Macaca fascicularis: one gene and its partner. The protein of the gene in region 2 purifies or fractionates together with the protein of the main gene of each other region. This does not show direct contact. Links are inferred from orthologs where the notes say so. Each region holds a gene or a part of one and is shown on either strand. Other genes may lie near its edges.

Region 1 (3,398 bases), on a different chromosome or scaffold from region 2:
TTGTGAGTTCTAGTCCTAGCGCCTTCTCTTATTAACCTGTATGAGCTATGGAAAGTCCATTACCTACATTATTCCTGTGTTTCCTCCATGGTGCAGAGGCAGTTCTTGCCTGCCTGACAGGCCTGTTGTGAGGATTAGATAAAAGGAGAAAAATACACGTCAGGGCTCATGTACAATGTCTCACTCTTTAAGTGCCCACAAAGCATCTATTAATTTTGATAAAATGTAGAAACTTAAGGAAATTATTTTTGGTTTTTATTCCCATAGGATGTGATTATGGACAATCTTACTGTTTTGTTTTTTATGCTTTTCTATATTTGTGCATGTTTTTGAAATAAACATGAGTTAAAGACAAAACCACAAACTTCACAAATTTAGGAGTAATCATGAGTAGCGATTTTTCCCACCCCATTAGGGGAAACAGTTATATCTGTGTATACTGTAAAACAGAGAATTGTCTCATTCCCAACCATACTGCTTTGTTAAAATGATAACGTACACTTCCAGAAATGATTGTATCACAAGAATCTTTAATGTTTACTTTAAAGTTGACTCACGGTGGGGTTGTATATGTGTTTAGTAAAGTGTGCCAAGTGCTCTCACATTGAGACCAGTCCAGTTCAAATTAGTTTACGCCACGAGGATGTTTTCAGTCCCCAGCAAGGTCATGAGGGCCTTGACATTTCTTGGTTAGGCCGGCTTTGCTGGTGAGTTTTTCCAAACTCTGCAGGAGCAGTCTACCCCAACACACATCTCAGTCCCATGTAAATTAATAAGATGGAAACGTTCTCAATGTACTTCATCAGTTTAGCACGTCTCTGATACAAAAATCCAAGAAAGGTACCACAAAAGCGAAAGCACCAACCAAGCTTACATATAAACAAACATGCATACATCCTAAATACTACACAATAGTACCCAAATGAATACAACATTGCATTAAAGGTATAAAAGCACTGTACTGGAAACGTAAAAGTTACACGTGAATACTGCACTGTAAATCCTGAACACTCTAATGACCCACCCCCACCCTTCCACAGCCCTGGTGAGGATCAGAAAGCATTCATCTGCCTCCAGACTTGGCTAGTCCTCGGAGACACTGCTGCGAGGGCAGTGGGCAGCGGGATTAGCCTCCCGCAGAGCTCTGGCCTCCTCTAGAGCCTCTCTGTATCGGGAGGGCCAGGCCTGGGGGTCTTTCTTAAAGACCCTGGCCAGGAACTCCATGATTTGCAGCTTGGTGATTTCGCGGCTGGCCCGGGAGCCCCAGAAGAACTCGTACTCGGGCGGCTCCACGTACGGGACGCGCTGGTACTTCAGGTAATTCTGCTGGACGAACTCCTCAGTGATGAGCTTCCGCACGTCCCCGAAGGTGGAGTGCTTCTTCCAGGGCCGCAGCCCCAGGATGCGGAGCACGTTCCAGACCGCGCTCTCTCTGGCGCCGCGGCCCTTCACGTAGATGAGGCTCAGGATCATGAGGAGGAGACCTGTCATGGGCATGCGGTTGCTCAGCGCCACCCTGTCCAGCTCCTCGGGCTCCAGCGCTTTGACCAGCGCAAACTCCATGGTGTGCAGGCTGGTTAGCCTCAGGTGCAGCCCGAACACCCGGGCGAGGATGAGGCTGGTGCGCCGGAGGATGCTCCTGCACCACTTCTTGTAGCTGCCGATGACATCTTTCACCATGTCTGGAAACCAGATGATCATCTTCTTCTGGTCCTTGACCAGCACGTACCACATGAGCTCGTGCGCCTTCTGCACCAGCTGCGCCGGGGCTGGCGGGGCCGGGCCGGGCTGGGCCGCGCTCGGGGCCTGGTGGGCGCGGCCCTCCTCCGCGGCCTGCTGCAGGGCCTTCGGGTCGTCCTCGTCGCTCGGGGCCTGGGGAGGCTGCGCGGCCTGCGGGGCGGCCGTCGGGCCTAAAGGAGGGCTCTGCGGCTCTGCCAGGGTCTCGGACGGAGGAACCCCCTCCGGAACCCCAGGGCTGCTGTGCACCTCGGAGCTGGGGGCCTCGGCTGCAAAGTTAGGGTCGCTTAGATCCTTACTTTGTTCTGACATATCTGCGCCGTCTGGCAAGGGCAGGGCCTCTGCGTCCAGGAGCTCTTCAAGCCTGCGCTCCCTCCGCGGATTCCTGGAGAGGAAGTGCGCGTTGCTGTGCGCGGCGCCTTCCGCAGCGGCGGGCAGGGCGGGGCGGCGGCGGGACGCGGCACTGCGCCTGCGCGACTGCGGCCTTGGCCAGCGGCTGGGGGCGGGCGGGGCAGCGCGGAGCCCCGACGGGGAGGGTCCCTGGCTAAGCTTCACCTGCGGAGAGAGCGATCCCGGGGTTTCCCGTTTGGGCTGAGGGGATCTAGGGCAGGAGAAGAGTGCGATGGATGCGTACTGGAGAAGGGGCCAGTTTAGGAGAAAGATGATAACTTAAGTTTTTGGGATGTTGGGGTCAAGTTTCTTGGGAAACGCTTACCTGATATATCCAGAATTAAGTTAAATATGAGCGTCCCAGAGAAAGGTCTGGGCGGCTGTGTAAACTTGAGCTTTATGCGAACGAGTGAGAGGAACAGTCGGGCTTGTCCAAGAAAATGTGTAAAGTGTATGTCTGAGGTTGGAATCCTGAGAAATTCCAATAAAAAATGATTGACTCCCTCCCTACCAAATCAGAGGGGTTGTAAGAAAAGGAGAAATGCAGCGTGTCCTTAACGTAATTTCCTGTCAACCCATGTGAACTATGAACCTTTTAAGTAGGCAGCGGACTTAGAGCATCATTAATGCTTTAGTGGGCATAAATTTGGGTTTTACATTTCCTTTGGGTCACTTTGATTCCATTTTATTTTTTTCCATACTTAGTCCATAGCAGAAGGATTGCTATATCTTTTAGCACAAACTTGTATGATAATGTCTTTTTCCCTCTGCCCAGCACCCTTATTCTCCGATTCACCTTCTCCCAGGACCCTCTCTGAAGCTACTGAGTCCTCCACGTTGGAAGCCACACCCAAGTCCTTCCTGAGATTTAAAAAAAAAAACAACTAGGTCTCATAGGTAATATCTGGTAGTGTCTCTGAGATGACCCAAGGGTAGCAGGGGCAACATGGGTAACCCTGTTTTCCAAGTATAGAAGACAGATTCCCACTGGGCAAAGACAAAACTCGCTCCTACAGGCTCTCCATGAAAAAAGGGTCATTGGTGGAGCCTCTGAAACCAAGGGCCTTGATGCTGCTTCAGCATCCTTGGTCTGGGCTGATGTGGTCCTTCAGCGCTTCCAGGGTTTCTTCTCATCAGTAGCTTCTTAAATATGTTGAGTCTAATTATTGCCACTCGAAGCCAAAAGCACATTTAAAAATTGTCTTAACATGTCTAGAGTCCTCGCTGTGAGTATATATCTTTTCCCACTTGTCACTTTATTTTTCCTCAAG
Region 2 (4,078 bases):
ATGAGAGCTACAAGGGAGGGGGCCTGCCTGCCTAACTCCAGGCCAGGCCTGCCTAATGCCTCCTGCCAGGCCATCTGGAGCCAGATCTCTCTCTCTCTCTCTCTGTGGTGTGTGTGTGTGTGTGTGTGTGTGTCTCCCAAGCCATGTGGGTGGCTGGGAGCTGTGGGGTTGTGACCTGGCCCTCCTGGGAAGCCTCTGACTCACCCGTGGTCAGTTTCACTTCTGACATCTGGTCAAGTTCACAGCTGGCCAGCTTCCTGCATGGCCATTTTCACTTTCCCTCTCCAAGATCTGGGAGCAAAGAGCCCCTTCTCCTTCCCCAACCCACCCCACCCCATAGTGACACATGGGAACTTACTGGCTTTCTGTTAAAACTTCCCCTTTTGGTGTGGGGTAAAAGAGGGCAGGAATTGACCGAATTGGAAATTATACCTGGGTCCCTGGCACACACCCCATCCCAAACAATTCAAACCATGTGTATTTCCAGAAAATCTCTTTGTACTATTTTTCTTTCTTTGCTATTTAATGTTCATCACTTATGTTTTATGTGTAAGTTTCAGGAGGACCCAAGAAATGATTACACAGGAGGCAAGGAGGGGAGATGACAGGAGGGATGCTGGGGGTCTGGAGCTCGTGGCCCCCAGTTGGGGGGCCAAAAGGGTTCCATCTCAGCACAAGGGGAGAAAAAAGGGGCCCCAGAACCAAACACATGCTAAAACATACTTGCCAGCCCCCAAAGCCCCTCCCCACGTGCTGGGGAGGAAAATAAATACACTCAGACTCTGTCCCACTCCCCAGGTGCCCAGGTGAGCGGCCAGCAGGTGAGTTTCCTCCCCTCATCACAGATTGAGGTCAAAGAATTGCCATTTACTACAATGCTCCTAGTCCCTTCCACAGGGCTGGGGGAACCCTGGGCTGGGGAGGGGTGGCTGTCAGCGCACAGCCTGCCTGGGGCTTGTCATGCTAAATAGAGGAGAGCCACACTCATTCCAACATCAGGCAAAACAGAACAGGCCAGGGAGGGGGTTGAAAGTCCACTGAGGCCTCATGGCCCCCTTCTGGCCAAGCTCAGGAAAAAACAGTCCTTTGCAGGCTTGTCTAGAGCTGGGAGAAATCCCCACGGGTCACAGTCGTTCCTTCTTGCCGCATTCCCACACTGGCCCGCTTTTCTTCATGACAATCTTGTGGGCCCAGCCAACCCCATACTTGCAAGGAAGGGGAGGATGGGGGAGCATTCCTCCACGTGTAAGCCCTTGAAGACAGACGCCAGCTCCAGCCTCAGCAGTCCTTGGCCCGCCAAACCCGGGGGCGAGTGAAGACGGCCGAGCAGACCTCAATTCCCTCCGATGCTTCTCTGGCAGCTGCCCCGGGCAGGATCCGGTCTCAGCCCAGGAGAAAGAACTCATGGAGAAAAGTGAGATTTCTCCTCCTGTGTGTATGTGTGTGCGCGTGCGTGTGTGCATGCGTCTGTGTGTTGCAAGGTGAGGGGTTCTTGGTCCCTGACCCCTAGGCTGATTCTAGGGGCCAGTGTTAGCTCCGGGTCTGTGCCTGCCGGATGGAGGGCAGCAGACTGGAGCCATGCCACAGTTGTCACACGGGCATGCTTGACAGGGACAGGCAGAGGGAAGCGGCACCCTTTCCACAAACCCCAAACCTGACTCCATCATGGACCAGGCCCTGGGCAAGCATCCCATCTCCACGGGTGGGCGGGCAGTGGGGAAGGGGTGGGGGTCTGGAGACAATGGAAGGCAAAGCTGACTTGGCTTCAAGCCATTTCTCAGAAAGTCACCTGCCACCCTCCCCTCGCCCTCAGGCAAACCTGAGGCCCCTCATTTAGAGAAGACGGTGCCGGCCTGCACTTGGCCTCCCCATTGCTGTGCGGCTTTGGGCGAGTCACGGCCTCCCTCTGGGCCTCATTGACATATATGCAAAATGAGGGGAGTGGGCTGAGCTTCAAAACCCCCTCCCAGCTCTGACAGGCCTCTGATCCTCTTCATCTTAGGCTGGGGTGGGGGGCGAGAGGGGCTGAGGGAGGGTTGAGGCCACTGGGATGCTACCCTTGCTCCCCAAGTTCACAGTGTAGAGTCCATGGCTCTGGTTCCTCGATTCTTCCCTCTGAGTCTCTGGGGCCTTGTCACTTCCCCCAGTACCATCCCTGGTGTCGGTCCCCCAGATATGACACCTGCTGTGGTGGGAGGGGCTGGCCCACCTTGCAGTGTGGGAGGAGGGGGCAGGTGGCCTGAGATGGTGACGGGGCAGGGGCAGGGTGGGGGAGGCAGCAGGGGCACTTCTCTCTCTGGACAGGGAGTGTGGTCAGAAGTGAAGGGGCCACACGGGCTGCACCGACAGGGCTGTGGTTTTGGGGCCTGGACTCTGAGGTCCTGCCCAGAGGAGCTCAGTTCTGCCAGGTGGGCCCCCCACAAAGGGTGGGGGTGCGGGCTCCACAGGGGTTGGCTGGAGCATCGGTCGTCGGAATGTGGGGCGGGGCGGGGACTCCCTGGTTGGGCTCACACCGGGGACGTGGCAGTGGACTCACTGCACAGACTCTCCACGAGGTCGGCTCGCTGGATGCGGCGCAGGGCGGCCAGGAGGGCGTCCAGTGTGGCGCTGTCCTGGGTGGCCCAGCTTGCAAGCAGGGCACGAACGGGGCAGGCCTCGTGGGTAAAGGAGTCTATGTGCTCGGGCTGGTAGCCCAGCTCGCCCGCCAGGTGCCGCCAGGTGTCCCCCGCAGACCCGTTGAGAAGCTTCTCCACCTCCTCCCGCTTGGCTGGGGGCAGGCTGCTGTAGAGGCCTCCATCACCCTTGAGGGCTGCAGAGAACCCAGAGGAGAGTCAGGTCCTACCCCTGCACTCCTTTCCCCAACAGTGGGTGCTGGGGTAAGACCCAAGGTGGGCGGTGGCAGTGCTCCTCCCCATCAAGAGGCCTAGGGCCAAGCCAAGGTCCTGGGTGGGACACCAGGAAGTGAAGGCACCTGGGGGGACTTGTTGTCCCTTCCTCCTGTCACTCCAGCCCAATCCCTACCCCCATCCCTCCTCTCCTCCCCCCCAGCAATTAATCATGGCAAAGGAGGAGACAGGGCTTCTCAGTTCCAGACATCTACAGCAAGTGTCCCGGAGCTGGGCTATGGGCCACTAATTAGGGTACACACTTAACTACTTGTTCCCCAGAAGTCCAGGGCAGGAGGCTAATTGCAGCTACTTTGGGCAGTAATTAGCCCCCAGGGGGGACAATTAGCTTGATGAGTCTGGATGCTCCAACTTGTAAAAGCCTCCATTTCCCAAGTCCTTTCCCTGGAGAGGGCCTCTCCTTCCCATTCCCCTCAGCCAGCCTCTCCATCCATCTACAGGGGCACTGCTGAGCCAGCCCTGCCTCCCCCTCCTCCCACAGTCCTTCCTGGAGTCTAATCTTAACCGCTTCTGTTTCCTCAGCCTCAGCTCCGACTCAGCTCCTCAGCGGGGCCCCTGCTCACCCTGGCCCGAGGCCGTCTGCGTGTGGGACTGCTGGTCATGCAGGCTCTGGCTGTCCACGGAGATGCCACTGTCACTATGGAGTTTTTCTCCCTCTGGTGGGGGCGTCTGGTTCACTGGCCGGCTGTTGGCTCCTTGCTTGTTCTGCTTGCAGCTGTTCCACCTGGAGCCAGAGGACAGGCCAGGTCTCAGGGGGCGGGGGCCGTAGCGGCGGATGCAGCTGAGGTATCTGTGCTCTGCCGTGCGAGGGCCAGGGGCATGGCGGGTGCCCAACTGTAACCGCCACCCCAGCATCTAAGGCTCCTCTTTGCACATCTGCCCCCCACCTACCCTGAAAGCTCCATGAGGGGCCCTCTGTAAGTGTTCAGTAAATGTTCCTGGAATGAGCAGTGCAGCACTAAGTGACTGCTCAGGAACTCCTCTTCTCCCAATCTACCCTTCTAAAATACTCCCACATGTGGGCAGTGATACATACAAGGATTTCCTCTGCAATTATAAGCAATAACAAAAACCTGGAAAAAAAAAACAAATGTCCATCAATAGGGGACTGGCTAAATAAATTACCATCCATCCATACTATTGAATGAGTGGTTACAAATGATCAGCTAATC

The links.
Region 1: the proteins of NGFR (region 2) and NDN purify together in Homo sapiens (affinity purification with western blotting; 3 studies listed by BioGRID). This does not show direct contact. The link is inferred for Macaca fascicularis from reciprocal best matches to the Homo sapiens genes NGFR and NDN.

The regions. Positions count from the first base shown.
Region 1 is NC_088381.1:5,296,513-5,299,910, reverse strand, and holds NDN (necdin), read right to left. Parts: upstream 2,138-3,398; 5' UTR 2,050-2,137; coding exon 1,084-2,049; 3' UTR 511-1,083; downstream 1-510. UniProt on the Homo sapiens protein: Growth suppressor that facilitates the entry of the cell into cell cycle arrest.
Region 2 is NC_088390.1:57,198,971-57,203,048, forward strand, and holds the end of NGFR (tumor necrosis factor receptor superfamily member 16), read right to left. Parts: intron 3,631-4,078; coding exon 3,470-3,630; intron 2,810-3,469; coding exon 2,508-2,809; 3' UTR 505-2,507; downstream 1-504. UniProt on the Homo sapiens protein: Low affinity receptor which can bind to NGF, BDNF, NTF3, and NTF4. Forms a heterodimeric receptor with SORCS2 that binds the precursor forms of NGF, BDNF and NTF3 with high affinity, and has much lower affinity for mature NGF and BDNF.